Linked DNA regions of Alligator mississippiensis. The protein of the gene in region 4 purifies or fractionates together with the protein of the main gene of each other region. This does not show direct contact. Links are inferred from orthologs where the notes say so. Each region holds a gene or a part of one and is shown on either strand. Other genes may lie near its edges.

Region 1 (7,952 bases), on a different chromosome or scaffold from region 4:
TTGGAAATTAGATCGCTATCGGCAGATATGCCTCCTTAAAAATTGGCTATCAGAATCAACGCAAAAATCTCTATCGGTGCACCCCTATCATATATGTGACTGTGTGAAATGTCTATCCTGGATTCATTACTATAGTAAATATTTCTTTGCAATTAACTTGGGTTTATGTGCCGGAAGAAACATTCTCCATATGGAGTTTGATAGGCATCTCCTCTTGATTAACTCTTGTTTCGTCTCAGTAGTTCCCTTGATCTTCCAAGGACAACTCTTCAAAAATGTTGAATTTTTCCCAGTTGTTAATCAATTTCCTGATATGTTGCAACTCAGTACAGATTGATAAACCTCCCGTTACTGGGGAAGGTCATTCAATTAAAATTGGGACTTTCTGATAATAATGAACAGTTAGGAAAACAGGATCTTCCTGTTTGTTATGGCTTGGGTTTCTCTCTTTATTTACACAACTACAAGAAAGCTTTGAAGATGCTGAGCTGCAAGTTATAAGAAAGGAATGAAGCAGCTAACAGGGGGCACTTCAAGAGTGAGAAATCATTCAACACAAGAAATGCTACTGAGCCCAGCTGACCTGATCTCACTGGCAACAGATCCATGCCTTGAGCTAACAAGACTAAGACCGCCTCTTTGCCTGTGTTGGTGAGATACTATCACTTTTACAACTATATATACTGGATTTTGTTTTGCTTTAAGATCATTTAATAGTGAATAGTTGTAGTAAATAAAACCTCTCTGTCATTTATTGAACAAGTTATATCAATCCTTTATACACTAGTCCTTAATCCCATTTTATAATTTAACAGCAACCTCCTCTTCTAGATAATGGTTTTTAAGTGTGTCAAGCCCATACATTCCAGTGCCTCTGTACTTTACTTTGTCTTCCCACTTTATTTTCAGGATCTTACACAAGTATCTCAGGTGGAAGCTGTTCAGTCTCTTGATGTGCCTAGCATATGCAGTCCACATTTCTGAACCATGAAACAGGGGTGACAGCACACAAGTCTCGTCAATTTGAATCTTTACTTTAAATGATAGTTTGCTATTATTCCATGTGTGTTTTTGTAAGAGGCCAAAATTCTTAGCTGCTTTTTCAATTCTGTCAGTTCAGTCTGAAGGTCAGGATTCCTGCTGATAATAGATCAAGTAGCATAATGCGAGTGACAACTTTCCTGATGATGTTCAACTGGGTTGCTTCTGTCCTCCTTGTTTTTGTATAATTGTACAAACTGAGCATCTCTGAAATCTTGTGATACTGCTTCCTCTTTCCAACAGAGCAGCATAAGTTCATGGAGCTTTTGAAGTAATTTGTCACTGGCACAGTTTTAGATTTCAGCAGGCAAACTGTCATTGCTGGATCTCTAGTTCCCAGGAGTCGATTTAAAGGCTTTCTATAAATCTTCTAATGTAGGTTCACTGTCCAAACCCATCAAACTGTGGTAACCCCCATTGCTGCATCTATTTAATTCATCATCACGGTCAGAGCACACGCACAGAATGGTTTTGTTATGTTGTTTAGTGTCTATGCGCCTACTCTTCAAGCTAGTGATGAAGACAGGAACGTGTTCTACCAACAACTTGGAAATTGAGAAAAAACTCATAGAAACAAGACCATTATAATATTTGGTGATTTTAGTGCAAGAGTTGAATGCAGTTTTGAGAACTGACCTGGTATTCTGGGCTAACATGGAAGGAAACATGAATGAAAGTGGCCAGCAAGCATTAGGACCCAGTACAAGTCAAGATCTACATGTCACCAACACCTACTACATATTACCAACACCTGCTCATGATGTCTACCCACAAGACAGACATCATGGAAACATCCAAGATCAGGATCACTGCCCACTGGCACCAACTAGATCTAGTACTAACCAGGCACAACCACCTAAGAAATCTGCATGCAAGGTCTTAACACATCACTGACTATAGCAGCAGACTAAGGTATGGTCAATGTTAAGTCAGAATCAATGCTAAAAAGATCCACTGTAGCAAGTCATCCTCAGATTGATAATCAGCCAAACTAAAGATGCAAACTATTCAATGAAGAAGTTGTGAAAACAAGTTTACCTAACAACTCATCCACCAAGGCTTGTGGAAACTTAAAAACTAACATGTACAATGCTGCTATAACAGCATTTGGGGGGGGGGGGGGGGGGAGGAAGGGAGGAAATGCTAGGTAAAATGCAGACTAGTTTTAAGAGCACTCTGAAACGCTTCTATCACTGGTTGGAAACAAAAGGACAGCACTAACCATCTGCAAGTCATCTCCCAAACCATAACCCTGGAAACTTTGAGAAAGGCTCCAGGAGAAATGCAAAAAGAGGCTAAACTGTGTGCCCCAGATTTTTGGCTGAAGCACTGATCATATTCAGAAAGCAGTTGACGCAGGCGATAGCCACAAAACGTACGAAAGCATCAAGCAAGCAATTGGTCCAGTCAAGAAGAAAACAGATCCACTGTAAGACTTGGACGGAAATGTCATCACTGATAAACAAAAACAAATGGAGTGTTGGATTGAACACTATGAAATTCTGTCCTCCAGGAAGACTGAAATCAAAGCATGAAGAGCTTAAAGGATTATCAGAAACAAAAATAATTCATAGTTAAACAACTGGAATGATCTGAAACAGCCTCAGCTAGAAGATCATTCTCTAAAACTCAGTGATGCATATGAAGCCCCTCTACACATAATATAACAGTCGAAACATTCAGTGCTTTCTTTAAACACAGTGCATCAATGTACGTAAATGTATAAAATAAAGGCCAACTCACCACATCCTCTGCTGGACTGAGTGACACCAGCTAGGGCCCTGCGGACAGCAGGTAGTCGCAGCATGGTGCTGGGAAATACAAGAGAGCAATTAGTGCCACAAATTTCTGCAGTTAGAAAACACTAACATTTCTGTAGATCCCCACTGTACATCCAACAGCTCTCTACTAAGCTTTGACTACATTTCTAGGGTAAAGGCAAAAGAGCAGCTCCCCACTGCAACTCATAGTGCTTTGCAAGGAAGCACTTTGAGTTGCAAGGATCCTCCGGACCCAAGAGAAATTTACTGTTGTGTCCTGGACCCAGGAGTTGGGACTCCAGTTGTGTGCTGCAGACCTGCAGCCCAGCTTCTGTAGCAATGCCACTCCCCCCTCCCCGCCTGGAGGCTGTTTTCAGAAGGGGGGGGGGAAGAGGGAGGAAGAAAGAGAAGGGAGCAGAGGGAACTCAGGTTTCCCAGCTCCAATCCACCCACCCCATCCCAAAATGCCTGCTGAAAAAAACCCAGACCAGACTCCCTCTGCTCCCTCTCCCCCCTCCCATTCTGAAAACAGGGACAGGCTGGAAGCTTTACAGACACAAGTTATACAACATACTCTGATTTGGAGCATGTTCATTTGAACCCTCATGCAACAGGGTTCATCTGACCCTCACCCCTCATGCAGTGAGGGTTCAGACTGTCGTGGGTCCTTTTAAAGTGATCTGCAGCTGTGCACTTCCATTTGGTTATGGCTGTAGAGCGCTTTCTGGGGCCAAATCAGGCAAAAACTGTCACTTCTGTCTGTGCCCCAAAGAGCACAGAGACCACCTGAAGACTGAGGGGAGGGTACAGACCTTCTTTTCTAGATCTGAAGCTGGCCCAACTTCTGCCCTAACAATACAGCCAGTTAAATGAGACAGCGGTTCTCAGCCTTTTTTGCACCAGGACCCATTTGTTAACCTCAGTGGCCAGTCCTGATGCCCCTCACTCCTGGCCTGCTGCCCCCCGCCCCCAGTGTTTATGCCAAGCAGCCCCTCACAGGCTGCAGCTCTGCCAGCCGGCAGGGGAAAAGCCAGTTTCCCACGTCCTTCTCCTTTAAAGGAAAATCCATTTTTAAAATTGACCGATCCATTTTTAAAGCTTGTTCACAACCATTTTATATATTCTTGCGCCCCTGCTTTGGGTCGCGACCCACGCGTTGAGAAACGGTGCGAGAGGAGGTCACAGAAGGGCCCCCTCACCGCTACAACATCCAAACCCTCCTACAGCAGCACTGCCCTGTCACGCCGCCCCCCCCCCAAAACAAACCACTGGGGGGCTGACTTCTCATTGTGTTCGTTTTCCATTACTACACTTATTGAGTAAAAATATCTATATCTATATATAGATACAGATATAGATATACACACTGTTCACAGTAAATTCAGACTTAAGGAAAAGCTGTTGCCATCACTGGCCGCCGCAAGGACGCTCCCCTCCGGCTGTCAAGGGCACGGAGCGGCCGGGGCGCAGGAGGAGGGCCCGGCCCGGCTCGGCCCCCCACCGCGGCCGCGGCCCCGCCCGGTACCTCGTGCCGCTGAGGGGCGACGGAGTAGCGGCCGCGCGGCGCGGCGCAGCACTTACGACCACTGCGGCAACTCCAGCTCGCAGGGCCTGGATGGCGGCGGCTCGGCTGTTTCCGTCCCTCCCCGGACACCGCCTCGGCAATTTCCGCCCCCCCAGCGCCGGCCTCGGCAGTTTCCGTTACTTCCCGGGACGCGCAGCCTCAGCCATTCCCGTCCCCTTCCGGCGGCGGCTCGGCAGTTTCCGTCCCTCCCCAGAAGAGGCGGGTTCGGCAGTGTCCGACACCCCCCCCCCCGGGAACACGCGGCTTCGGAAGCTTCCGCCCCCTCCCACCCTCCGCCAGCCCTCGGCAATTTCCGGAACCCGCGCTCGGCATTTTCCGTCACTTCCTTGCAACCTGTTTTTGAAAATCCCTGTCCCCTCAGTGGAGCCGGCCGAGCACGCTCCAGAGTTGAAACCTTTCCTTCTGCTCCTGTTTTCTTATGTTCGTGTCCGGTAATGCCCTCTCCCTGCTCTGAGCGGAGCGGAAGACGAAGGCACTATTTCTCCGCGGAAGGACACTATAGTGACGAAACTAAATGGAAAAGGAACCTTCCGCCGGCGCCTATATAAGGGGGGCGTGAGGAGACGGCGCCCTCTTTGCGCAGTGGGTGCTGTCGGAGTTTGGCCTGCTGTTGCCATCATGGGTTTCGGGGACCTCAAGACCGCTGCAGGCCTCCATATGCTCAATGACTTCCTGGCGGATAGGAGCTACATTGAGGGGTGAGCGCTGCTGAGGGGGGGAGTGTAACCGGCCCGCGGGGTCGGGCCTCCGCGCCTGCGCCGTGCGGGGCCGCTCTGACCGCGCGTCCCCTTAGGTTCGGGCCGTCCCAGGCCGACGTCGCCGTGTTCGAGGCCGTGTCTGCGCCGCCGCCCGCCGACCTGTGCCACGCGCTGCGCTGGTACAACCACATCCAGTCCTACGAGAAGCAAAAGGCCAGGTAGGATCTGCCTCCACTCACTGCTTCTCTGGGAGCAGCCCCCCCCCCCCGCGCAAAAGGCGTGGGTTGTTTTATTTTGGGGGGGGGGGTTGCCTTAAATGTTGAGCCTGTGTGTTGTCTTTGAAAGGTGCCAGCTTCGCTGCTGCTGTGGAGCAGGTAGGGTGCGGGCACTGGGGTGGCCTGGCCAAGATGGCTTGCTTCTGCCCTGGACAGCGTCACCAAGTCTTAAATAGGAAATTATCTTATTGGAAGCTCAACGTTGTTGTGCTTACTGAAAAACTATATTGTATGCTGAAAAAGTAGGCAAATCAATACGCAAATACATCTTATTTGCTGTAAATTGCCAGTGAGTGAATGAGAACTGGGTCACCAAAGTTGAAAGACTTCTTTATTTTGAGGCAAGCAGTCAAAAGAAGGTACTGACAGCAAGCTCAAAAGTCCTCAAGAGTGATTTGGGCTTTGCATATGCTGCATTAGTTAGCAGCCTCAAAAATTATTGCACATTTTGAACACTTCTGCTAGTATTATTGATCTCACATTGTACAAGGGTATGAAATTATCATAGATATGATAATTATACACCTGGCAACGCTGGCCCTGGGATTCTGCACTTCTAGGTCTACCCTTATTGCACATGCGGCGTTCAGGGGCTCGGCTGAAACCCCAGCACTGGAAGACGGGCTTTGTGGCCGCTCATGCCTTGAGCAGCATGACCTTCTATATACACTGCAAATAATGGTTTAAAGGTTATACCAAGGTGGGCTGGATTTTAACCAGGTTAATCCAATGCAACTGAGTCCTTTTGTGTTTCCATTTGAAAATCATGCACGTACAATAGCTGCTCGCTAGTGGCTTTTATAGCTTGGTCTCAAAGCCACCTGAGCCAGGAGCACAATAATTACAATGGCTCTTAGGAAAACCTCATATTGGACTATTCTCCCTGAAGGGTTAAATCAGACAAGTGACCAGTAAGGACACTGTTCTTGAGGGAAATGAAAGCAAATGTGTTCTCTTCTTTTTTTAGTGAATTTAGTGGTCATGAAAAGTGCCGTATTGACAGCCATGGAGACTGAAGTCCTCCCTAGAAAAGGTACAGCATAGGCAGTGTTAGTACGTGCCATTTCCACATTGCCTCACCAAGACCTGTTGTAGAGATGGATGGCTTGGTCTCTTATCCATTCTGTCCTAGGCTTTTCTTGATGTTACAGCCTGTAATACTATTTAATAATTTGTTAGTATGTGGGTTGGGGTGAAATTGTAAAATCCAGTTCACAAGATCTGTAAAGAACGTAATGTACTGTAATTTCTTCTAGCCGCTCAGAAGGAGAGTGCTTTGTCATTGGCTTTTCTAATGCCTAACAGTCTGATTAAAAAAAATAAATAAATCCCTAAAGCAAACCCCACAATACTGTAAATGAAAGCATAAGACAAAACTATGCTCTTATGGTGTTAGTGGCTACATCTAGAAAGACTAAAGCAGGAATTAAATCATAGTTCAAAAGGTACTAGAATGAACAGGCAATGTAAAGTTGCATTCTAGGTTTTCTAGCAGTAGATGGAGCTATTTGAACTGTGTTTGGGTTTCAGGAATATTTAGTTCCTGTTAGGTTCTCCTTGGTTCCTCAGGCATTTTAGTTTATCCTTATTTACATTATAGGCTTATGGTTGTGTGGGGTAGTATTGGGAAACTACCTCATAGTTAGAACCAACCTGTCAGTAAAACCCAAGGATTTGACATTGTGATAAAACTTTTGATATTACCATTCCCACTGAGGCTTAATTTTCAATAATGAAGCATTTCCTTGAAAATATTTCAGTGGGGAGTGGCAGTGCTTAATGTGCTTCAATTTAATGTAAAACATTTTAATTCTTAAATTTGATTTGATGGTGGTTACATTTTTTTCTGTAATATATCCCATCACTTCTGCACTTGGAACAGCACAGTAAAATTTGCAGAACTCCTCTTGGTACAGGGTTGTGTTCTGAAGCTTTTGGTTGCTGCTCTTATGTGGTGTACTCTAGGAAATCCAATTACCAGGAGCAAGAGTTGCTGTATGCATGAGAGGTTTAGCTTTCTATGCACATTAAATTCACCATATTCGTCTAAGCAGCATGCTTTACTGTGGGTACACTTGTGGATTGGAATCTGGTGCTTCACTTCTGAAATAGTGACATAATTAAGGTTTGAGTTTCATTGTTAGGACAAGAAATATTTACTGGAGGTTTACAACAGAATCAAAACCTCAGTAAAACTGAAATATATACATTTTTTAAATCAGTTATCTTTAACAGACTCTGCTCTCTTACTTAGTTTGCCAGGAGTGAAGAAGGCTTTGGGGAAATACGGTCCTGTTGATGTTGAGGATACCACAGCTGGTGCAGCTGCAGATACCAAAGATGATGATGACATCGATCTCTTTGGATCTGATGACGAGGAGGTGTACTAGCATTTATTTTATTTATTTGCTATGAGTTTTTGTTTTCCCAGCTACCAAAATTCAGTTATAGATGCATTTCTTTTTTTAGTTTATCTTTGCTCTGTTGGTCTGTTTAACATCTTATAAAGGTCATAATTTGTTTGAATCGGAGAGGCTCTCTAAAAATAGTCTTCTGGTGGAACTGACTGCTTGCTGAATGGGTGTGGGGACAG
Region 2 (6,899 bases), about 180 Mb from region 4:
CTATGAGCTGCTTCAGGGGCCTGCACTGCAAGGGGTCCCTTGTTGCTCCCTCAGAAGCTGTAGTGTTGATCTCCACTTCCACGTGGTGGCTTTGCAGGGTTAATTGCAGCTTTTGTCAGCATATCACACCCCAAAGTTTCTAGTCCTAATCCTAGCTCTACTGAGACAGGAAACTGCAAGAGAACTCAAAGAAAAGCCAGCCAAACAGCAAATGAGCCTGAACTGCAACTAGCGCCAACCACGCTGCTTGGTCAGGACAAAGAACTGCAAAAGCAACAACATGGGTCAGCCCCAAACCATGCCAGGCCTGAACATGCAGCAAACACACAGCAGGGCTCAGCGACACAGCTAGGCTGAGGCACAACAGCTATAAAACAATAAAAGGGGGGACCCAGGCCTGTCCTGCACCTCCTGTCCTGAACATACAACAAAAGAGCACCAGGCCTATTTGGCTGCGGCCTGGACATTTAGTCTCAGCTACACTGCTATGCTGAGACCTAACAGCTATGAAACAACAAAAAGGGGTCAGGCCTACTTTGGAAAGGACCTGAACTACAACTAGTGCCCAACCATACTGCTTGGTTTGGGCATAAACTGCAAGAGGGACAAAAGGAGGCCCAGGCCTATTTCACTGGACCTGGACTGGGCAAAAAGCTGGCCAGGCCTATACCACACTAAAGCCTGGATAAACAACAAGAAGTGCCATAGTCTCACCCTAGCCCAAATCTGCCAGCCAGTCATATGGCTGGGGTTCAGCCACCTCAACTGGGCTGAAATGCAATTGCTGTGGAACAGCAAAAAGGGCTCAGGCTTATAGCTCCAGCTTGGACATCCAGTCTACCATGCTGAGACACTACAATCCCCAACACAGGAGGTCAGTAACTGCCAAAACCCCATTCCTGGTCAGTCTGCTCTAGGGATTAATACACTAATGATGCCATCCCACTCAAGGCCCGTGTGGCCAAAACTGCCATCAAGACATACAGCTGGGGTTCAACCACACATCTAGGTTGAAACCAAAAGGAGTGTAACCACAACTTCTACATGTCAGGCTCTTAGGCCTGGCCAGGAGCTCATCAGCAAAACTGCCAGGCTCCAACTCTGGCTAGTCTGCTGCATGGAATTGATACCCCCACTCCCCCAATGGTATCATCTCACTCAAAACCCAGAAAACAAAAGGGGAAAGGAGAGGGAGAAAACAGGGGTCTCAAGCCCTGAGACAGACTTTCTCTTCCTGTACCTGAGGCTTCTCAGTCACACAGCTTTTACTTGCTTCTCCACTGAAGAGGGGAGAGACATGACAGCGCCCCCCCCCGGCCCAACAGGAGCAGGTTTTCCGACTCCCAATTCAACAGTACAGCTCTCAGCAGCCCCAGGAGAAAAGAGCCCCCAGCCTAGGTAGCCTGAACCTTAAATAACTTTTCTGACATCATTACAGGGTCCCAATCAAGAAACAGCATCATTTAAACACTGGTAATGCAGACCAATGTATTCAAAGGTGGTCAGTGCTCCTGGATGCGCTCAGGAGTCACTGAACTGGTTTTACTAGTTCTTTTAAGGAATCTTAAGACAATGGTCAGGACACAATGACGGGGGAGGGAAGTGGGCCTCTTCCAGTCTCCAAAAAACACACACAACTACCAAAACCACACTTTACCACACACAACCCCAAGTGTGTGTGGGTGTTACATAAGTAAAATGCCAGCAGCCCAGTGCCTGGCCCTCATGTAGCCTTTTACTACATCCATTTTGATACTCTTGCTCCATGAGTCCTACAGAGGGGAAGGGTCAGCATTTCACAGCCAGCAGATGGCAGCAGCATCCCAGCTAGGCAGGCCTGCTGTTCTCTCTGCGCAGTTCACCTGTGGAGTCCGGTGGAGTGGCTTCTCTCTGTTTCTCACATATCAAGCACGACCTTTCCTCACTCCTGCACCAATGCCAGGAGAGCAGCTAAATCCAGATCTATTCTGTACTGGGGAAAGACTTCCCAGTTCTGTACCATTCAGTTTCTGTCACTCCCTGTCTCACTCTCTGCTTCCCACAGACACTACACCATTGTGCTAGGCCCAGTGGCTGTCCCTGGCCTGGTCTAACACCCTTATGTAACAGCCACTCCAACATCATTCCCTTGATTCACAGTTGCCAAATCCCACGGCTGACTCTGCCCGACTCTGTCATCCTTCCTCCCCAAACTTTCACAGTCACAGACGAGTGAAAGAGGTCTGTGGGGAGCTGGCTAACAGATCACTGACCCTATGTGTGCTATTACGAGGTGCTGGGGAACACATCTTCTACTTCCCTGTGCTCCATGTTTAGCCCCTCACTCCTGCCACCCCAGAGGAAGCTGCTTTCATGTTGTCAAGGCATGAGACAAGGGAGTAGCATATCTCAACCTACATGTACTCCAAGCCAGAGAAGCAGGAATGTTGACTGTGGAGTATGTCCCTGCGAGCTCATCTTGGCTTGCCCCAACTGGAGCTTTGGCTACGGAAAAGTGGTTGAAAGGTTGAGTGGGACAACACTAGGGCCAGAGAGGTTTGCAGTTGTCATGTTGGCTGTTCTCACCTGCCCTGTGCCCCCTGCACAGAGTCCTCAGCAGCATTCATGTTTGCTCAGTAAACAGTAGGCCTTGCAAATGTGCTAGTAGCCTGGAGCCACCTTTTGTCACTGTTCTGCTCCCCCTAGCAGGCTGGGCCTTGGGGCTGGCCCCTTTCCTGAGGGAGGAAGAGGTGCCAGGATTGTCACCCCCTCCCCACTGACCCCTCCACAGGGTTGCAGCATAAGCCATCCATCCCCATGGCCTTTAAGTAAAGGTCACAACCTCCATTGGAGCTAAACTTAGCTGTCTACTTCTTTGGCAGCCCTGGGAATAGTAGCTTTGCAAGGGGAGTTGGGTTACGCCTGAGTGAGGTGACCTGTCTGCAGACCCCCTTGGTATCTACTCCCCATCCCCCCCACGCCACGCCTGCCCTGCTGTCTCTCATGCCTGCTGCCAGCCTGCTCCAGAGGTTCCTAAACAGGGCCAGGCAGGGGGGGGGGGGGGAAGCCTGCTGCCCCTCACTACATCTTCTCCTGAAAGATTGCTTCATCTAAGGCAGGTATGGCTATATAGGATAACTTGGCAACATTGCCAGGATCATATCACAAGAGTATTTAATAGTGTTAAGTATAATCTAAATATCCCTTAAGTATCTAAGTATCATCTAAGTATCCCTTAGATTATGCTTGCATGTCTTCAAGTCTTCTTTCACAAAACACATAGCACACTCGCTCCTTAGTGCCTCAGGGTTCACAGCAGTCTTATGCTGGGTTTAGCCCATGGATGGTTTGGATAGGGGTGACCCTGGCTCAGGCAGTGCTGGACTCCATGATTCCTGGAGGTCCCTTCCAGCCCCGCTTCTCTGACTCCATCCCTTCCTGGTGCTCTGGGCTCCAGGTGCCCTTCCTGCGCCAGCGTTGCCCCCCAGGGCCTGGGGAGCTGGAGCCCGCATGGCAGCGCCGGGGCTAAGCCGTGGGAAGGCCGAGCGGCGCGGGGACGGGGCACTTCGGCCAGGCCACTGGGCGCTATCGCGGCCCTGGGCCGGCGGGAGGATTTCCGCCGTCACGTCCCGCAGGGGGGGGGGGGGCGCACGGGGCCCGAGGGGGCGCCGGGGCTGCGTCCCCCGCCCCCGGCACGGCCCCTGCCCGAGGGCGCGTGGGATAGGCACACACCTACCCGCCTAGGCGAGCAACCCCAACCCCAGTGCGCCCCACTCCCCCGTCCAGTGCCCGCCCGGATCTGGAGGCAACGCCAGGCCAGGCGAGCTGAGGCGCACGTAGCCCGGGGCCGCCCCCCGACGCTGATTGGGCGCGGGCCGCAAGGGCGGGCCCGCGAGTCGCTATATATTGGGGTGGCGCGGCTCGCTCCCACCTCCTCACTGCACGTCGAAGCCGAGCTGGGTCAGGCCAGGTGCGCGGGGCCAGGGCCAGGGCCAGGGCCAGGCGCGGCACGTGGGTGTCCGGGACTGGCCAAGGGGCGCTGCCTGCCTGTGTCCCGGGCGGGGCAGGGCGGGGGCATCGGGCTGTGCCGGACGGGACGGGACGGGACGGGGTGGGGTGCGGGCGGGCTCAGAGAGGCGGCGAGTTCTGGGCTGCGGCCTCCGGAAAGTGTCCGCGCTGGTCTCACCGCCGCTTCCTCCCCTAGGAGCATCTTCCAGAGACAAGATGGTGAAAGTCGGCGTAAACGGGTGAGCGCGGGGCGGGGCTGGGCCGGCCGCCCGGGCTGTGCTTCCCCCCCCCCCAAGGACGTGTCAAGGTCGTCCCGTGCGGCAGCTGCGGCCGCGGCGCCCCCCGCCCTCCCGCCTGTCGGTCCGCGCACGCGGCCCCTTGTGCGCGGCAGCCGCGGCCCGGTGGGGCGGCCGCTGAGTCACTTCCCCCCCACCCCCCTCTGGGCCACGCCGGGCTGAGTCACACGAGCGGGAAGCGCCACCGCCTCGGGGCAGCACTAGGGCTCTGCCCTGGGATCTCCTGCGGCTTCCTGGCCCCCCCCCCCAGGATCGCGTGTCTGCCTGAGCCCTGAGGCCCCGGGAAATGCGACCTTATGGTGCTGTAACTGGAGCTGCTGTCCCAGGCCCAGTAAATTTAGTACCTGACCTTTCTGCAGTGGACCGGGCCGGTTAATCTCCAACTTCTCTTGCCCTTTGGTCTGCTGCAGCTGGGCAACCCCCCCCCTGCTGCCCTGCGGCCTCTCCTTGTGCAGAGGAAAGGGCAGCTGCTTCAGGAGTGGCACCACAAATCTCTCCCTCCCCAGACTGCAGCACTCCTTCACAGTGTCCCCTTCCCACCCCTCGATGTGCCTGGGCCTCAGTTTTTATTTCCCCCCCTTCCAGATTTGGCCGTATCGGCCGCCTGGTCACCAGAGCCGCCTTCAGCAGTGGCAAAGTTGAGGTCGTGGCCATCAACGACCCCTTCATTGACCTCAACTACATGGTGAGTGGGATCCCTCCACCTTGCTCTCCCTCCCCAGCCCACCAGGTTTACTGGCCTTTGGCCAAGCTGCCTCCCTGCATGGCGAGAAGGGAGGGAAAGCAGTGACTCTCCAGTCCCTCCAAAAGCCAAGCACCATGGGCACATGAGGTGTGGCAGAGATTACAGTGAAGGGCTGCTGGCTGGCCTCAGAGCCATATCAAGGGAGCCAGACCCAAGCAAGGTCTTTTCAGGAAGAAGCAGCAAGCTACCCTCAGCCAAAAGGGTTGGCAGAGCAAGGGGTGTTGGAGCCCGGAGTGGCAGGGGATTATTGGAGGGATACAGCCCACGTTTCTGACATTGCTCTTTCCCCTATCCCACCCACCAGGTTTACATGTTCAAGTATGACTCCACACACGGTCGCTTTCATGGCACTGTCAAGGCTGAGAATGGAAAACTTGTGGTTAATGGGCATGCAATCACAATCTTCCAGGAGTGAGTGTCCCTTCCCCTTCCCTTTCCTTTTGCAGCTTGGGGCACAGGGTGATGTGGAGGAGCAGAATTTAATAGCTTTTGGATATTAAACGATCTCTTTCCTCTCAGGCGTGACCCCAGCAACATCAAGTGGGGAGAAGCTGGAGCAGAATATGTTGTAGAGTCCACTGGAGTCTTCACCACCACAGAGAAGGCCAGTGTAAGTGGTGGCTGTACCTAGGGTGGATATGTGAGAGGAAGGGTTTAAGCAGGGCGATAGCTCTGTCTTAAGCAAGAGAATGTGTTTGAATGACTTCAAGGTGTGAGGAAGTGTATGACTTGCATGTGTGTGGTATCCCCTCATACCTGGGTAGATAAGAGTATTCTCCCTCTCTCCTAGGCTCACCTGAAGGGTGGTGCAAAGCGTGTGATCATTTCTGCCCCCTCAGCTGATGCACCCATGTTTGTGATTGGTGTCAACCATGAGAAGTATGACAAGTCTCTGAAAATTGTCAGGTGAGGAATGGGCACCTGTGCAGGACAAGTCTGAGGTGCAAAGTGGACCCCAGTGAGGTAGGGAGTTTTGCTCCCTGCCTGTGCTCTCCACTGGGGGTTGGCCCCACCTGCCCCAGGCTGATGTCTTGCTCTCCTTTCCCATAGCAATGCCTCCTGCACCACCAACTGCCTGGCCCCCCTAGCCAAGGTCATTAATGACAACTTTGGCATTGTGGAAGGTCTCATGGTAAGTGACCTGGAAACATCAGGCCTGGAGGGTAGAAAGGGGAGAGATCTGTTACAGAACTTTCAACCAAGGGGTTGGCCATAAGAGTAAGGGGGCAGTGATGGGGGGTGGTCACTTTTTTTTTTTTTCTCCCCCCACAAGAGGTAGTACAGTTGCCCATCCTGGTGAACTTCAAAAAGTGTCTTGATGCTCATCTTGCTGGGGTCATCTGATTCCAGGTCTTTCCTGCCCAAGTACAGGGGGGCTGGACCCAATGATCTGTAAGATCCTTCCCAGCCCCAAACAACTGAAACTAACAGGCCTGGCTTTGTGGGTGGGGGTTGTTGATCTAGTAGAGTAGGAAGGGTGATCCTTCCTATACCATCTGGACACTGGGGAAGGTAGGGGCCAGCAGGTAGCTCAGGTAGTGAGGTGAAACTCCAGGTGCATATACTGTATTCTAACTCTGTCCCACCTTCTAGACCACAGTCCATGCCATCACAGCCACACAGAAGACTGTGGATGGCCCCTCTGGGAAGATGTGGCGGGATGGCAGAGGCGCTGCCCAAAACATCATTCCAGCATCCACTGGTGCTGCCAAGGCTGTGGGAAAAGTCATTCCTGAGCTCAATGGGCGAGTATCTCCACCCTCATCCCCAAGGGTTACCTGCATGGGGGAAGGAGGGCAGGATAAGCTACAGCTACAGCCTCCCAGCAGGCTGTGTCAAAACCCTAGTTGACCTGGGAATCATGGATGCAC
Region 3 (7,818 bases), on a different chromosome or scaffold from region 4:
ACACATGGACCACGGGGTCCAAGCCCTCCACTTCCTGACGGCTGCCTGCTGGCTGCTGTGCAGGGGGTGGTGTTTATGGAACTGCAACCAAAAGCTAACCAGTCTCACTCCATGTCCCCAAAATTGACAAGGCTAGTACGTTTTTTGGGTAGAGCACCTGAAAATGCATCGTTGAGTGGCAGAAAATTGGGGCAGTAGGAGCAGTCTAACCCAAAGGCCACCCCCCCTCCCCCCCCAGAAAAAAAAACTAAACCAATCACAAATTTCATTCCTAACCTGCCCCCTGCTGTGATTTAGTAGTAGAAGATCGGGATGGTTAAAACTGTTATGATGTGTCTAGCGTTTTTTACTAGTTATAGTACATTAACGAATTTTGAGTGTTATACATGTTACGTGCAAAATAGTAACGGAAATCATTGTAGTACATTGTGAAAATGAAATAAACCCGGAGATTATCTTTAGCTAGAAAAAGCCAACATTGTGTGCAGGCACCCACAGTGCCCAGGCTGGGGGCGGGCAGCGCTGGCGCAAGAACTGAGCTTGGTGCGGGACAGGGCCCTGCTCAGACTTGTTCAGAGCATGCCGTGGCGGTAAAGACATGTGGTTTGGGGCAACCTGGAGAGGATTTGACCCCAGAAACCCAGCTGCAGATCAGGTCTTTTTGGTGCTGTGTCCTTGAGGCATGATGCTATTTTAGGTTGTCATAAGCAAATAGATCGTTTTGGTGCCACCTGGATTCTTTGGCTGCTGTACTTTGCTGCTAACAACCTTCAGCTGCGTAAAGACTGGGTCTGGGAAAGGGACCAGGACCTGGAAGTAAAGGACCAGCTTCAGCCTTGTGCTCGGGGTGGTGGGGGGGCTGTGTGCCTGCCCCAGGCTGAGCCCTGCCATTTTTTCCCCTCCACAGCTTTTCTACTCCTTCTTCAAGTCCCTGGTGGGCAAAGATGTGGTGGTGGAGCTGAAAAACGACCTCAGGTGAGCGGGTGCCTACTTTAGGCCTGGGGGGTGCCTTGGTTTCTGGGCTCCCAACTCCCCCCTCCCCTCCAGGCTTTCCCCACCTAGAGCAGAGGGAGAACCCAGAGCTGGGAGAGAACCCAGGTGCCCAGGTGTTTGGGCTCCCAAGTACTACCCCCTCCACACCTCACTCGGCTCCCGGAGCAGCAAAAGAACCCAGGTGTCCGGGCTTCCAGCCCCCTGCTCTAATGCATCTGCCCCCATCTCCAGCCAAGTGCTGGGAGAGAACCCAGGTATCTGGGCTCCCAACTCCCTCTGCTCCCCAACCAGACTCCACTCTCCCCCCACAGCACGGAGAGAACCCGAGCATCGGGGCTCCCCCTGCCCCACGAACTAACCCCCTCCTCTATTGCAGCATTTGTGGGACACTCCACTCCGTAGACCAGGTAGGACCTCTTCTCCCCCCCATGCCCCTCAATGATTCAGTCCCTTTAAAGGGCCACCCCTCCCCCCCAAGCTGCTCTGCAGCCAGCTAGGAGGCTCCAGGCCTCTACCTCACAGCACTAGGTTCAGGGCCTGTCTCTCTGTCTGTCTGTTCTTCCCACCCCCTCCCAGTACCTGAACATCAAGCTGACAGACATCAGTGTGACAGACCCTGAGAAGTACCCACACATGGTAATGGCCAGTGGGGGGACACAGGGGTTAGGCTTGGGTGTGTGTGGGAGGGCTGGGTTTGGGGGGTGTGGGGAGGCCAGGCTTGGGGCAGGGGGGTGAATTGAGGGGACTGGAGACTGGGGTTTAAGGGGCTTGGAGGTGTGTGTGGGGGGCAGGCTATGGAGGGGCTTGGAGGTTGCAGGGGTCTGGGGGTATATGGGGAGGCCAGGCTCTGGGAGGGTGCTGGTGGCTGGGAGTGTGGGGGGAGGCCAGGTCCTGGGGTGGGGACTGGCTTGGGTGGGGCTTGATGATATTGTGAGGGGCTGTCTCACTGGCTGTGGGGGGTCCTAGCTTGTGGCTGGAGCACCCTGGGGGAGGTGGAGAGTCCCCCAGCTGTGGACACTGACCCTCCTGCTCCCCCCCTCCCCCCAGCTGTCAGTGAAGAACTGCTTCATCCGGGGCTCAGTGGTCCGGTACGTGCAGCTGCCAGCCGACGAGGTGGACACACAGCTGCTGCAGGATGCCGCGCGCAAGGAGGCGCTCCAGCAGAAGCAGTGACCTGCCCCCCCCGGATGCCTGGGTTCCTGCCTCAGACCTGAGCAGAGCTGGAGCCCACGTCCAGACCTCCCCACACCCCTGTGTTCCTGTCCTGCCCCCCCCCCCCCCCCCCCCCCCCCCCACACCTGGGCTAATAGCTCAGAGGTGCCTGGCTCCTGCACTGTCTTGAGCAGCGCTGGAGCCTACATCTAGATCCCCAGACACCTGGGTTCGTGCCCTTCCGCACACCTGGATCCCTGTCCTAGTCTTGAGCAGCGCTGGAGCCAACATCTACCTCCCCGGACACCTGGGTTCCTGCTCCGGTCCTGAGCAGAACTGGAGCCATATCTAGGTCCCTGGGTGCCTGGGTTCTTCCCCCCTGCAACTACTGGGGGGGTTCCTCTTACGGGACCCCATCCCTTTTTTTCACCACACTCCTGAAGGCCCCTATTTTAGCCTGATCTTTTGTTGCACTGAGTTTTCTACCCCTCCTTTTGGTTCTTTTAAGGCAGGGTATCTAGTCTCCCTGCCCCCTATGGGATAGAGTCGAGGGTCCTGGAGGGGGAGGGGGTTCCAGCACCTGGGGGGCAAATAATCACATGGGGGCATCTTTGGGGCCTTGTCTGTGCATAGACTTGGCAGTGGGGTATTAAATTTGGGTGTCTTCAACCTTTGATTTGTATCAAGGCTTGTCTGGGTCTATGGGGCGGGGAGGGGGGTACTGGCCATGGTCCTGGACATCTGGGTTCCTGGAGCTCCCCCAGGGCCTCGCAGCTAGGAGGGACTGGAATGGGGGGGGGCTCTAGGCTCTAAGCTATGAAGCTGAAAAAGGGGTGGTGGTTACAATGGACTAGTCTATCTGACTTGCAGGGGGAGTGGAATGGACTAGTTTATGTAGAATGGTCTAGTCTACTTTAGATGGTTGGGGGGAGGGTAGAGTGGACTGGTCCACCTGGCTTGGATTGTAGGGGGTGGACTGGACTAGTTCTAGCTTGGCCTGCAGGGCCTACGGTGGACTAGTCCATTTGGCTTCTGGGGTAGAAGGGTTCTAATCTAGTTTAGACTACAAGGGCGTAAAGTGGACTAATCCATTTAGCTTTGTAGGGGTTAGAATGGACTAATTCAAATAGTTAGGATTGCATGGGGGTTTGGAATAGACTAGTCCATCTAGCTTGGCAGGCAGGGGGTAGAATGGACTACTCCATTTAGCTTTGTAGGGGGGTAGAAAGGACTAGTCCAACCGGCTTGGACTGCAGGGGGGAGTGGAGTAGCTCATTTGCCTTGGTTTGTAGGGGGAAGCGTAGGTTGATCTATCTTGCTTGAAGGGGGGGGAAATGGTGTTTAGACTGCTCCATTAGGCCTACCTCCTAGGGGGAGGAGTTCAGCCGGACTGATCCACCCGGAAGAGACTGGCGAGGGGGAACTTGGGGGTTTCTCCCCCCACCCCCCTGCCCCACAGCAGCCAGCCCTAGGGCCTGTTTAGCCTCATCAAGAATCCCCTGTGCCACACTGGGCTGCCTGGGGGTGGGAATGGACCAGCCCATCTGGCCTGGTCCATTCCCCAAGCTGGGGTGAGGGGTGTCTCCATCCCACCAGGGCTGGTGGTGGTCCCCTCTGCTCTGGTTTTATGCTCCCACATCTCAATAAAAGTGTTTTGTAGCATCCAGTCTCCCCTCTTCTTTCCTATCCCGGGTTGCGGCCCAGCTGCCCGGGTTCTCTGTTCAGTCCAGGGGTGGCCTGGGGTTAAAGCGGGAACCGGGACGCCTGGGTTCTCCGTTTATTTCGGGAGGGGTGTGGGCACCGCACACCCCTCCTGTTCTCTCTGCATTTTAGGGGCGGGCAGAATCCCGCCGGCCAGGCACTCCCGTCTAGCCCGCGGGGCCCGGCTGTGGCCTGGAAGGCCGGGGGCCCTCGCTGCCCCTCCGAAAGCCGGCGTGCATGCCGCAGCGCGGCTCTGCTCGCTGAGCACCGAGCACCCACTCGGCCCACCTGACCCGACCCGCCGCGGCCCCGAGCCAGGGGCTGCTAGAGACGAGCGGCTTCTGCCTGGCACAGGCTTTTGCTGGCCACCCCACGGCAGCTGCACCAGGCCGGGAGCCAGGGAGTTTGCACCGCGCGATGCTGCGGGGCAGTCAGCTCCCTTGTAGACGGGCCGCTGGCTCTCGCACCGGGGAGGGAGCGGGGTGGGTGTGGGGACTACAGAAGGGAGGGACACCTGGGCTCTCTGGGACCCTCCCAAAGGAGCCAGGTGTCCCTCCCAGCCCCCCTTCTCTAATGCCCCATTCCCGCAGAGACCAGCCCAGTGTCACGTGGGGAGTGGGGCCTGGGGGTGACAACAGGGGCTGGGGCCAGGACAGCCGGGCTCTGCCCCCGGCTCTACGCAGCCCCCGGCCCGCAGAGGAGCGCCCGTGAACCCAGGCGCCCAGGGGGCGCTATGACACTCTATGAACCTGCCCAAGTGCACGGCCTGCGCTGTGGCCGCTCTATCCACCCCAGCACCTTTATGCCTCCACGCAGCTTCCTTTCTACAAGGCCCCGTTTTGCGAGTATCCTAGCTAGTGCCTGTCCAACTAGATAAACAAAGCCACGCCCGCATTCATGCTAAAGAGGGGCACGGCTAAACCCGACCACGCCCCTCCAGCTGCCTAGTGAAGGCGGAGGGGGCGGGGCTGCGTGGCGCGGCTCAGGCAGTGCTGTGGTCAGCCCCAAGTGGGTCCTTGGAGTGTAGAGCGAGGCCGGGCGGCACACGTGGGGCTCTGGGAGGTAAGAAGGGGGCGGGGGGAGTGGTGGCAGGACCCCCTGTAATCCCCCACCCCCCAGAGCGTTGGAAGGACCCCCTGCAATCTTCTCCCCCAGAATTGTGGTAGGACCCTCTTTAATGCCCCCCCGCCCCTCCCAGAATTATGGTACGACTCACTATTATCCCCCTCCCGGATTATGGTGGGACCTGCTGTCATTTCTCCGTCTCCCCCGGGAATTATGGTAGAGCCCCTGGACCCCCCCCCCCAACTACCCAGAACCCACTATAATTCCATCCTCCAAATTATGGTAGGTCCTCCTGTCACTCCCTCTCTTGAACTGTGGTAGGACCCAGTATCCCCCCCCCCGAATTGTGGTAGCACCCCTTGTCATTCCCCACCTATTCCCAGAAGTATGGTACAACTCACTGTTAATCCCCCCTCATTCCTAGAATTATGGTATGATCCACTAACCCTCCCCCCCCCCCCCAAGATATAGTAGGGCCTACTGTCATCCTTCACCCTTCCCCACCAGTCAAGGTAGGACTCACTTATCTCCCCTCCCCCCCGAATTATGGTAGGAGTCTCTGCCATTCCTCTCCCTTCCATACAGTGTTGGGAGGACTCACTATAGCACCCCCCTGCACAGTTATGGTGAAACCACATATAATTCCCCTCCCTGCAAAATTATGGTATGACCCACTGTAAACCCCTCAGAATTAGCATAGGACTTACTGTAATCCCCACCCCCACCCAAGAATTATGATAGAACCCCATATAATCCCTCTCTCACCCCTGAATTATGGCGGGGCCCCTGGCCTTCCCCCCAATGATAATACAACCCACTAATAATACCATCCCCAGAATTACGGTAGGGCCCTCATATTCTTCTTCCTTTCCCCTAGAATTGTGGTACAACCCACTATAGCCCCTCAGAATTATGGCAGGATCCCATATAGTTTCATAGTTGGTAGGGTCGGAAGGGACCTGAGCAGATCATCAAGTCCGACCCCCTGCCATGGCAGGAAAGAGCACTGGGGTCAAACGACCCTGGCTAGGTGGCTGTCTAGCCTCCTTTTGAAGACCCCCAGGGTAGGAGCGTTCCAGATCCTATCTGCCCTGACAGTGAAGTGGTGCCTCCTGATATCTAATCTGAATCTACTCTCCATTAACTTATGGCCATTGTTCCTTGTTACTGCCGGTAGTGCTCGGGAGAACAGGGACTCTTCCATTGCCTGCTGGTCTCCGTTTGCAAGTTTGTAGGTGGCCACCAGATCCCCTCTCAGCATTCTCTTGAGGCTGAACAGGTTCAGGTCCCGTAGCCTCTGCTTGTAGGGCCTGCCCTGCTGCCCCCTGACCATGGTGGTGGCCCTCCTTTGGACCCTCTTGATCCTAGCCACATCCCTCCTGAAGTGCAGTGCCCAGAACTGGACGCAGTACTCCAGCTGCGGCCTGACCAGTGTTGCATAGAGGGGGAGGATCACCTTGGCCCTGCTTGAGATGCATCTGTGGATGCATGACAAGGTGCGGTTAGCCTTCCTGACCACATCCTCACATTGTCGGCCCATGTTCACCTTGGAGTCTATAATGACACCAAGATCCTTTTCTGCCTCTGTGCTTTCAAGAAGAGAGTTCCCCAGCCTGTAGGTATGCTGCTGGTTCTTCCTCCCCAGGTGCAGTACCTTGCAGCTTTTGTTAGACTGCAATAGAGAAGGAAGAACTAACAGAGAGATGCACCAAGAGGAGCAGCATGTCAAAGTTACAGGCTAGGAAAATAATGTTTACATCAGCTTTCTGGATGGATGTGAACAGAGCAAGGCTGCTTGCATCAAAAACAGTACAAAAAAGATGCAAATATATAATATAATCTCCCTACTCCACCAAGATTATGATAGGATCCCTTGTCATTCCTCCCTTCCCCCCCAGAATTGTGGTATGACCCACTATAATTTCCCCCTCCCCCCAGAATTATGGTACCCCCCAATTATGGTATGACCCACTCTAACCCTCCCCCAGGATTATGATAGGACCACTTTGTAATTCCCTCCTCGCCTTCCCCCAAATGATGATACGACTCACTATAATCCTCCTCCCCTCTAGTTACAGTAGGACCCCCTGTAATTCCACCCTCCCCTTCCAGAATTATGGTAGGACCTCCCTACTCCCTAGATTTATGGTACAACCCACTATAATTCCCTCCCTCCTCCCCAGATTACAGTAGGACCCACTGTTATAGGGGGCATGACTGGACACCTGGGTCCCTTTTGGTGGAGGGTGTCCATGGGATCGCATCAGCTGGGACACAGGTTCCTAGGAGCAGGGGTGGCGTTGGGGATCAGGGAGGGGGATCAGAGCAGGGTGGGGAGCTGACAGCCTGACTGTCTGTGTTCTCTGCCGCTGGGAATGGGGAGCTGCTGGATTGGAGTTGGGAGCCTGGACCCCTGGGTGGGCCCCAGGAGCTCCAGTGGGTTACAGCAGGGGGTGCTGGCAGCCTGGATGCTTGGGTTCTCACCCCCTTTCTTTCTCCCCTGTCCCAGGCCTGGACATGGCCACGCTGTTTGTGTCCCCCTGTGCCGAAGATGTGGCCAGCCGGCAGGCGCTGGTGGTATCGCGCTTTGCCCCCTGTCCACCCCGTGTGGTGCCTGTGCCCGATCTGACACCTCCTGGTCCCTTTGCCCTGCCCCGGCTGCCAGCATTGGAGGATCCAGGGGGGCTGCGTGTGACCGGAGCCACCGCTGTCACCTTCCTGCTGGCCCCCCCAACCCTGCGTGGCTGTGGCCTGGCCCAGGCCACTCTAGTGCGCCAGTGGGTGGCCTATGCCCAAGCTGATGTGGCCCCTGCTGCCACCGCTGCCTCCCTGCCCCACCTTGGCCTGGCAGCCCTTGGCCCACAGGTAAGCCTCCATTCTGTGGGAGGGGCGTGGGGGTGGGGGCTG
Region 4 (6,907 bases):
TTCTTGTAAGTTTGATTTCCTCCACTTCAGTATTCTGTTCCAACTAATTAAACGCTCCTCTTAATTCAAGTTGGAGCTTTCAGTTCTACTGCTAAAGATTAAATGGCAGTTATAGAAAGGAGGAGGGACAGAAGACCATTTTAACAAATACCTTGGACTCTTTGCCTGTCTTGTCTTGACTTGATTTTAAAGGTGTGTGCATAGAATGCGGGAAAAATCGAAAGTTGATTTACTAGTATTGTTAGAAGAAAAATCCATTATGCTAAAATTGACAGTTTTTCTGCATCTCTAGAAGATTGCTTTTTTTTTTTTTTTAAAGGCTTCTAAAATAATGAATGTATTTCTTAAAATCTTGCATGTCTTGCAACTGAAGATAAGCTGCTTGGTGTATTGAATTCATGGATTGAATCCCTTTTTCGGCTTCAACAAGTGAGGAGCCTTGTGTCCATATTAAGGGGTGTGATTGGTTTGAGAGTATTCACCAGGGATTTATTTAGCTTAGCTCCCTGTGTTGGATGAGAATGTGGCAGGATCCCAGTTTATGCAAGTTTTGCCTTCTCAGTAAAACAAGTAAGTACATCTGGAGGTGCTGCACAATAAACCCATATTGGATGAGAAAAACTGCCCCATCCTCTACTTTTGGTGGATGGCAAGGAAATTGTAGTAGTATCCTGTCAACAAGAGTTGCTGCTTATTTTGGTATCTGTCTAGCTGAATGGGTGCAACTGTCTCTGTCCCTCAAGGCCTCTTCCTTGCTCCTCCTCTTAAAGAATTCAACCTTTTTTCTCCCCGTCAAAACAGGGGCCCGCTTAGTCTTGTTTGGGACAGGAAATCAGGTTTTTCCCCTTTCCATAACTTTTAGATAAGGAACTTGGTAACTCCTAAGAGTGGCCATAGTGGCTCCTGGGGAGGGGGTTGGAATAAGCCTGCTTTTATGCACCTCTCCACCCTCCCACAGAAACCAAAAACCAAATGACAGTTCTCTGATTAGAGAGGAGTGGAGATATCCTCCCTTCAAAAGCGCAGGTCAACCCACTCAGAGCAACTGGCAGGGCAATAGGAGACATGGGAGAAGTCTGCAATGGAGAAGTGGAATCAAAATAGGCTGGAAAGGCTGGACGATCAGGGTATTCCTGTTACACCCTTTGCTTTTGTGCTGATATCCCATATGCCTCTTCAAGTGATCAAGAGACACTGTCTCTTGTGTTTTTTATGATACATAAGGAATGAATGAAAGAGATTCCTTAGAAGTAAAACCTTAAGTTGAGCTTTTAATACCATTTATAGAACTATTTATTTGTTTGAAAAACAGGTGATCCTTTTAATCTCTCCTCTCTCCCATTCTACACACCAAATTATACTAAAGCAATACCAATACATTCTCTGCTGTGGGTGCCTTTCCCAAACAAACTTTTATATAGAAACAGATGCCACCTACAAACTGAGATACTAAACAAATGCTTTGGGTGTAATTTCCAATGTTTTTATTAATATTTTGTAACTAGTTCCTGACACACTTCCCTGTAAGGTTACTGGTAGGCTTTCTGTCACGAAGCATCACTGTACAGTGTGTAAAGATTCTGTGTACTATATTCAAGGACTAGTGGGACTGACCTGGGTCGTAACTGTGGGGAAACTTTTTAAAGGAAGAAAAGATTGTGTCCAGGGCCTACTTGGTCCACCCGCTACCCATAGGTTTGTTAAGACAATTCTTTTATAGAAAGTACATGAGCAACAGCAACCACAGCATGAAGGAGGAGATTGCTAAATCAAACCAGTTAAGTTTGGAGATTTTAGATGCTGACACACTGAGTTATATGCACTGGCCGTACAAGTCACTGGTCACAAAATCAGTTCACATAACTATCGATGAACACACATGAATGTAGATTACCCAGTTTCACACACCTACATTTTCATAACTTGAGGCTTTATTCAAGTCTATACCAGACAGTCTCAGTCTTTTAGAAGTCCATACCGTACAGTCATATTGCCTAGTATCTAGAAAGTGCACTGAAAGTTTCTGTTGATGTAACCACGTAGTCCATGCCCTTTCATGGGTGGTTATACAAGGTTGGAGTTATACAGGTATGTTCTTCAGTGCACATTTTCCAGCAGGTGACGTTAATTTTCAGACTGTTGTACTACTGCGGGTGGAGTCTACATTTGGTTTATTTCTACATTGCCAGAAGTGAATCAGAGCCAAACGAGAAAATGCTAAGGAGGCATGAGCCATGTTAGAGCGGGCTGCTTTCCTGTTTCTCTTTCTTAGGCTCCTGATACACGTTACGTATATTAAGCAACTGACTAGTGCATCGCACAATAATTTTACATTGGCCACATGTGCAAAGTAAAACCTGTCACAAGTACAAAGTGATTATCACAGAACTGGTTAATTGTGCAATAAATCTAGACCAGCCACACATGCAAAGTAAAGATAAGCCATTAAAAATGACTGTCTGGCTAAAAGAAGAGGCAGCCAGCTACAAGCTTAGTGCTTGAAAATGCGTAACAACGCTATAGCTGGTTTCTGTCCAGCTTTGACTGTGGCAGGGCCCTCATTGTCTACAAAAATATGCTACTCCTTGAACTTCCTGGACCTTAAACGAAGGAGGCTGCACACGAGAGGAACAGGGGAAAACGCTGGCTGTGCCCCGGTCACTCAGTCAGCACCTGCTCTTTGCCAGTGTGGCCCAGACCTGTTTGTTGCACTTGGGGAACAGAAGCCTAGGCCCACCAAAAACTATAAGCCCCCCCCTTTAAAAGAAAGGCCACTGACAACTCAACACGACTGGTTTGGAGAAAAGACAAAAAAAAGGAAACAGAAAAGGATGTGAAATCACAAGTTCAAAACAAGGGATCAGAAGGGAACACCAAGCATAGCAGACTTGCCAGTGCCTGCTGCATGAAATGGGGTGCCTGTGGACACGGGCCAGTGAAACCGTGCCACAGGATGTGAGTGAAGACCACCCCACACTCACGTGAGTTTCCCAGGCCAGAGCCTGGCCTCATGCCTCCTTTGCTGTTAGACATGTTGCTGTCTTGGCCAGGGCCAGGAGGAGGTTGACCAATAGGTCCTGGGACATGGTGAGGCTGCAGGTGGCGACTGTGCACACGGAAAGGTGCAGCTCCAGCCTCCGCAGGACTTTCTGGGGTGAGAAGGGGTTGCAGCCTGGCGTGCTGGGGCGGGTGCGCACCGTCCGCCCCCCAGAAGAGCCATGAAGCATGTCTCCGTCCCTGGAGATGTTCACCAGTCGGCTGGACAGGCACCAGCCTGGAATTTAGGCCAGGTTTGCTCTGGCCTAAATGGTCCCGTGAGGCCCCTTCCAGCCCGGCCTTCCTACTATCTGCTGCCCGCCCCCAAAAGCAGGCACCAACTGATGTATCTCTGAGCGAAGGAACCGGTTTGGCTGCAAGTGAAGCACGCGGGGACCCAAGTCTGAGCCAAAAGAGGAAGTCTGCTCGGGGAGTCGGCCCCCACGGGGATCTCGCTTCCTCTCCCGAGGCGGCGGCGGCGGAGAAACGAGGGTGCCTCAGTCACCTCCGACCCAGCCACCGGCGAGGGCAGGTGGGAGGAGACGGGCCGCCTCAGCGCGGAGTAAGTGCCGCTCCCCGGGCTCCGAAGCGCGGCCCCGGGCGCCCCCTTGGGGACGCAGCGGAGGGGAGGGGGAATGGGGGATGGGCCGCGTGGCGGGGCCCCACCCGCGCAGGTGCTCTCCCGGCTGGGGGAGGGGCGCTCGGGCAGGGGCCGTCGTCAAAGTCCGGGCAGGGAGCGCCGACGTACGGCTCCGGGATATACCGCTGCTGACTTGAGGGAAGCAGCCCCGCCCCATCGCAGTTGGGCGGCGCTCCCTGCCGGCCCGGAGGGGGTGGGGAGGGGGAGCGAACGGAACGCTGGGAGCCGTGACGTATCCGTGGGCCCCGCCCCGCCAGCCTATATAAGGCCGGGCGCACACGCTGTCGGTCTTTTTCGCCACGGGTTTGCCGCCGTCTTGTAGGTAAGCCGCGGTGGCGCGGGCCAGGCCCGGGGCGGGCACAGTGGCAGGGGCGGGTGGGGCCCCGCGAGGGGGGGGCTCTGGTGGGGCCAGGGGCCGCGGTGCCGGGGAGGGGCGCGGGGGGCGCCACAAAATGGCGTCGGGTTCCTCGTGCCGGGGTGGGGGCGTAGCACGTGGCCGCCGCCCTTCCCCCCCGCCTCTTAGCGGGGTCTCAATTTTTCGCGGAGCGGGAGCGGGGCGGGGGGCGCGGGCCGGGGAAGATGGCGGCTCTTCCTGCCTGCAGGCAGCGCCACAAAATGGAGGGCGCGCGCGCGGCCCGGCCGGGCGGGACGAACCGCACAAAGGAACGGGGCGGCCCCGCCTTCCCGCGCCGCCCTGGCGCCGGGCCGCGGCCCCCTCCGGCCGGCGTGGGGGCGCTGTGGCCTGGCCGGGCCGCCGCCGCAAGGGTGGGTGGGTGGAGCCGCGGCCTTGCGTCAGCCGCTGCCCTCGTGGTCGCCGCCGCCCGGGCTCCGGGGTGACTCCAGCCTCTTCTGGCCCGCAGGTGCTGATTTTTCTGGGAGAAGGGAAAGCCTCACTCGCCAGCCGCCGCCATGGGCAAGGAGAAGACCCATATCAACATCGTTGTCATCGGCCACGTGGACTCGGGCAAGTCTACCACCACCGGGCACCTCATCTACAAGTGTGGCGGCATCGACAAGCGCACCATCGAGAAGTTTGAGAAGGAGGCTGCCGAGGTGCATCTGCGGGGGAGAGGGGAAGGGTGGTATGAGTGGGTATTTCCTGGAGTTGGGGGGTCTCTTTCATGTGCTTAGCAGAAAGCATTGTCTTGCCCAACTTAGAAAAAGTGCTGGTGAGGTGGCAACTGCTTGTCTATATGAGCCGGGAATCTTGTTCCAGGAGAATTCCAACCTCTGTTTTTAGCCTTGATGAACACCTTGATATTCTCTGCCCCCAAAATGCAGTTGCTTGCTGCAGTGTTGAAAAAGGCCGTGTCTACTCCTGGAGCCATAGGCTCCTAGAGAAGTCGAGCTGGGAGGGACCCCCAGAGGTTGTCCAGTGCATTGCTTTGTGCTTTCAAGCTACTAATACAAACAATAAGGTTGCAGCAGGGCAGTGTTGGGAAAGCCACCCTGCCTCCCCTCCTGTGCTCCCCCTGCTATAAATGGGGAACCAGGAGGAGCATGACTTGGCCCAACTTGTGTAGCTGGGAATTGTTCAGGCAGGCTGTATCAAATAGTTGATGAGTAACTGCTGTACTCCAAATTTACCTTTTTTAAAAGTGACTTATATGGGGCTTTGTCTTTAAAACTGAGTAATATTGGAGGATATTGCATTTGTTCCAAATTTATCATGCAATATCTTTTTTCTTTTTTTCTATTTGGACTATGCCTCAATAAGAATGACTCAGTAGGTGATGGCATTATGCTATCTGTGTAAATTCCAGAGGATAAACGCATACAGGCTAGCTGTGGGAAGGATTACAACGGTATGAAAACAAGCTTCCAGAGGACACTTGATCTGATGGACCTTGTGGAGCCAAGCTAACTTTAAAGATGTTAGTTGTAGTTAATGAGTTGTCCAGGGCTAAAGTGACATCAGGTTAAATAACAGAAGACAGATGGAATCTCTCACTAGTTGTGCCAAGTGTGTCTAGGCCAAAGCTGTGCTGGCAGCAGAAATCCCTAGTGCAGTAGAAGCCATCTGCCACTGTAGACTTTTTTTTTCCTGTCCCTTGGCTATCCTACAAATTGGGTTCCTTTTTAAAACTGCCACTTACAAAGTATAATGCAAGTATATCAATGACTCTTGTTTGTTTGCTTGTTTAATCTCCTAGATGGGCAAAGGTTCCTTCAAGTATGCCTGGGTTTTGGACAAACTGAAGGCTGAGCGTGAGCGTGGTATCACAATTGATATTTCCCTGTGGAAATTTGAAACCAGCAAGTACTATGTCACCATCATAGATGCTCCTGGACACAGAGATTTCATCAAGAACATGATCACTGGCACTTCCCAAGTACGTAAAATGAGAGAATTCTAGTGCACTTAGTTTTTTGTTCTTTATATGCATGTAAATAGAAACTTAATACTTCTCTTTTTCAAAGGCTGATTGTGCTGTCCTGATTGTTGCTGCTGGTGTTGGTGAGTTCGAAGCTGGTATCTCCAAGAACGGGCAGACCCGTGAGCATGCGCTTCTGGCATACACACTGGGTGTCAAACAGCTCATTGTTGGTGTTAACAAGATGGATTCCACTGAGCCACCTTACAGCCAAAAGAGATATGAGGAAATTGTCAAAGAAGTCAGTACTTACATTAAGAAAATTGGCTACAACCCAGACACAGTGGCTTTTGTGCCAATTTCTGGCTGGAACGGAGACAACATGTTGGAGCCCAGTGCTAATGTAAGTTGTTTGCTTATGGGGGGGGGGGTGTTCCCTCCTTTCTTTGAAGGGGACTATTGTGATACATTCTTCACCCTTTAGATGAATCTATGCACCTCAGTCATATTAGGCTTAGTTTTTAAACTGATAATTAAGTTACTTGGATGTGTTTTAGGATATTAGAAATGGATTTTTTAGGAAACGGGACAAATTTTAATGGTTGCATCTTATTTTGCCACAGATGCCCTGGTTTAAGGGATGGAAGGTCACCCGTAAGGATGGCAATGCCAGTGGCACTACCCTGCTTGAAGCTTTGGATTGCATTCTGCCACCAACTCGTCCAACTGACAAGCCCCTGCGTCTGCCTCTTCAAGATGTGTACAAAATTGGCGGTAAGGTGTTTTTGTGTGTGGGGGAGGGGAATAGGTTGTACCTTCTCCTGTATCTAATTTGTTGGTGACATTCCATTCCATAAGTTTAAAAAAAAGTGGTAGTAATTTCCCTTTTAGTGAGAGACTGTAACAAACCGGTGTG

The links.
Region 1: the proteins of EEF1A1 (region 4) and EEF1B2 purify together in Homo sapiens (affinity purification with mass spectrometry; 3 studies listed by BioGRID and IntAct, counting the BioPlex papers as one, with this or other methods). This does not show direct contact. The link is inferred for Alligator mississippiensis from reciprocal best matches to the Homo sapiens genes EEF1A1 and EEF1B2.
Region 2: the proteins of EEF1A1 (region 4) and GAPDH fractionate together in Homo sapiens (co-fractionation; 3 studies listed by BioGRID). This does not show direct contact. The link is inferred for Alligator mississippiensis from reciprocal best matches to the Homo sapiens genes EEF1A1 and GAPDH.
Region 3: the proteins of EEF1A1 (region 4) and VARS1 purify together in Homo sapiens (affinity purification with mass spectrometry; 3 studies listed by BioGRID and IntAct, counting the BioPlex papers as one, with this or other methods). This does not show direct contact. The link is inferred for Alligator mississippiensis from reciprocal best matches to the Homo sapiens genes EEF1A1 and VARS1.

Annotation. Positions count from the first base shown.
Region 1 is NC_081827.1:174,211,504-174,219,455, forward strand, and holds the start of EEF1B2 (elongation factor 1-beta), read left to right. Parts: upstream 1-4,946; 5' UTR 4,947-5,004; coding exon 5,005-5,084; intron 5,085-5,179; coding exon 5,180-5,302; intron 5,303-7,613; coding exon 7,614-7,740; intron 7,741-7,952. Other genes in the region: NDUFS1 (NADH-ubiquinone oxidoreductase 75 kDa subunit, mitochondrial), read right to left, coding at 2,785-2,848. UniProt on the Homo sapiens protein: Catalytic subunit of the guanine nucleotide exchange factor (GEF) (eEF1B subcomplex) of the eukaryotic elongation factor 1 complex (eEF1).
Region 2 is NC_081824.1:243,386,689-243,393,587, forward strand, and holds the start of GAPDH (glyceraldehyde-3-phosphate dehydrogenase), read left to right. Parts: upstream 1-3,883; 5' UTR 3,884-3,949; intron 3,950-4,183; 5' UTR 4,184-4,203; coding exon 4,204-4,226; intron 4,227-4,868; coding exon 4,869-4,968; intron 4,969-5,332; coding exon 5,333-5,439; intron 5,440-5,547; coding exon 5,548-5,638; intron 5,639-5,818; coding exon 5,819-5,934; intron 5,935-6,078; coding exon 6,079-6,160; intron 6,161-6,621; coding exon 6,622-6,777; intron 6,778-6,899. UniProt on the Homo sapiens protein: Has both glyceraldehyde-3-phosphate dehydrogenase and nitrosylase activities, thereby playing a role in glycolysis and nuclear functions, respectively.
Region 3 is NC_081834.1:57,717,891-57,725,708, forward strand, and holds the start of VARS1 (valine--tRNA ligase), read left to right. Parts: upstream 1-4,809; 5' UTR 4,810-4,908; intron 4,909-4,956; exon of another isoform or gene 4,957-5,008; intron 5,009-7,420; 5' UTR 7,421-7,428; coding exon 7,429-7,776; intron 7,777-7,818. Other genes in the region: U6 snRNA-associated Sm-like protein LSm2, read left to right, coding at 908-975, 1,370-1,400, 1,570-1,629, 2,041-2,166. UniProt on the Homo sapiens protein: Catalyzes the attachment of valine to tRNA(Val).
Region 4 is NC_081824.1:63,916,791-63,923,697, reverse strand, and holds the start of EEF1A1 (elongation factor 1-alpha 1), read left to right. Parts: upstream 1-3,897; 5' UTR 3,898-3,998; intron 3,999-4,536; 5' UTR 4,537-4,585; coding exon 4,586-4,729; intron 4,730-5,829; coding exon 5,830-6,009; intron 6,010-6,097; coding exon 6,098-6,394; intron 6,395-6,614; coding exon 6,615-6,765; intron 6,766-6,907. UniProt on the Homo sapiens protein: Translation elongation factor that catalyzes the GTP-dependent binding of aminoacyl-tRNA (aa-tRNA) to the A-site of ribosomes during the elongation phase of protein synthesis.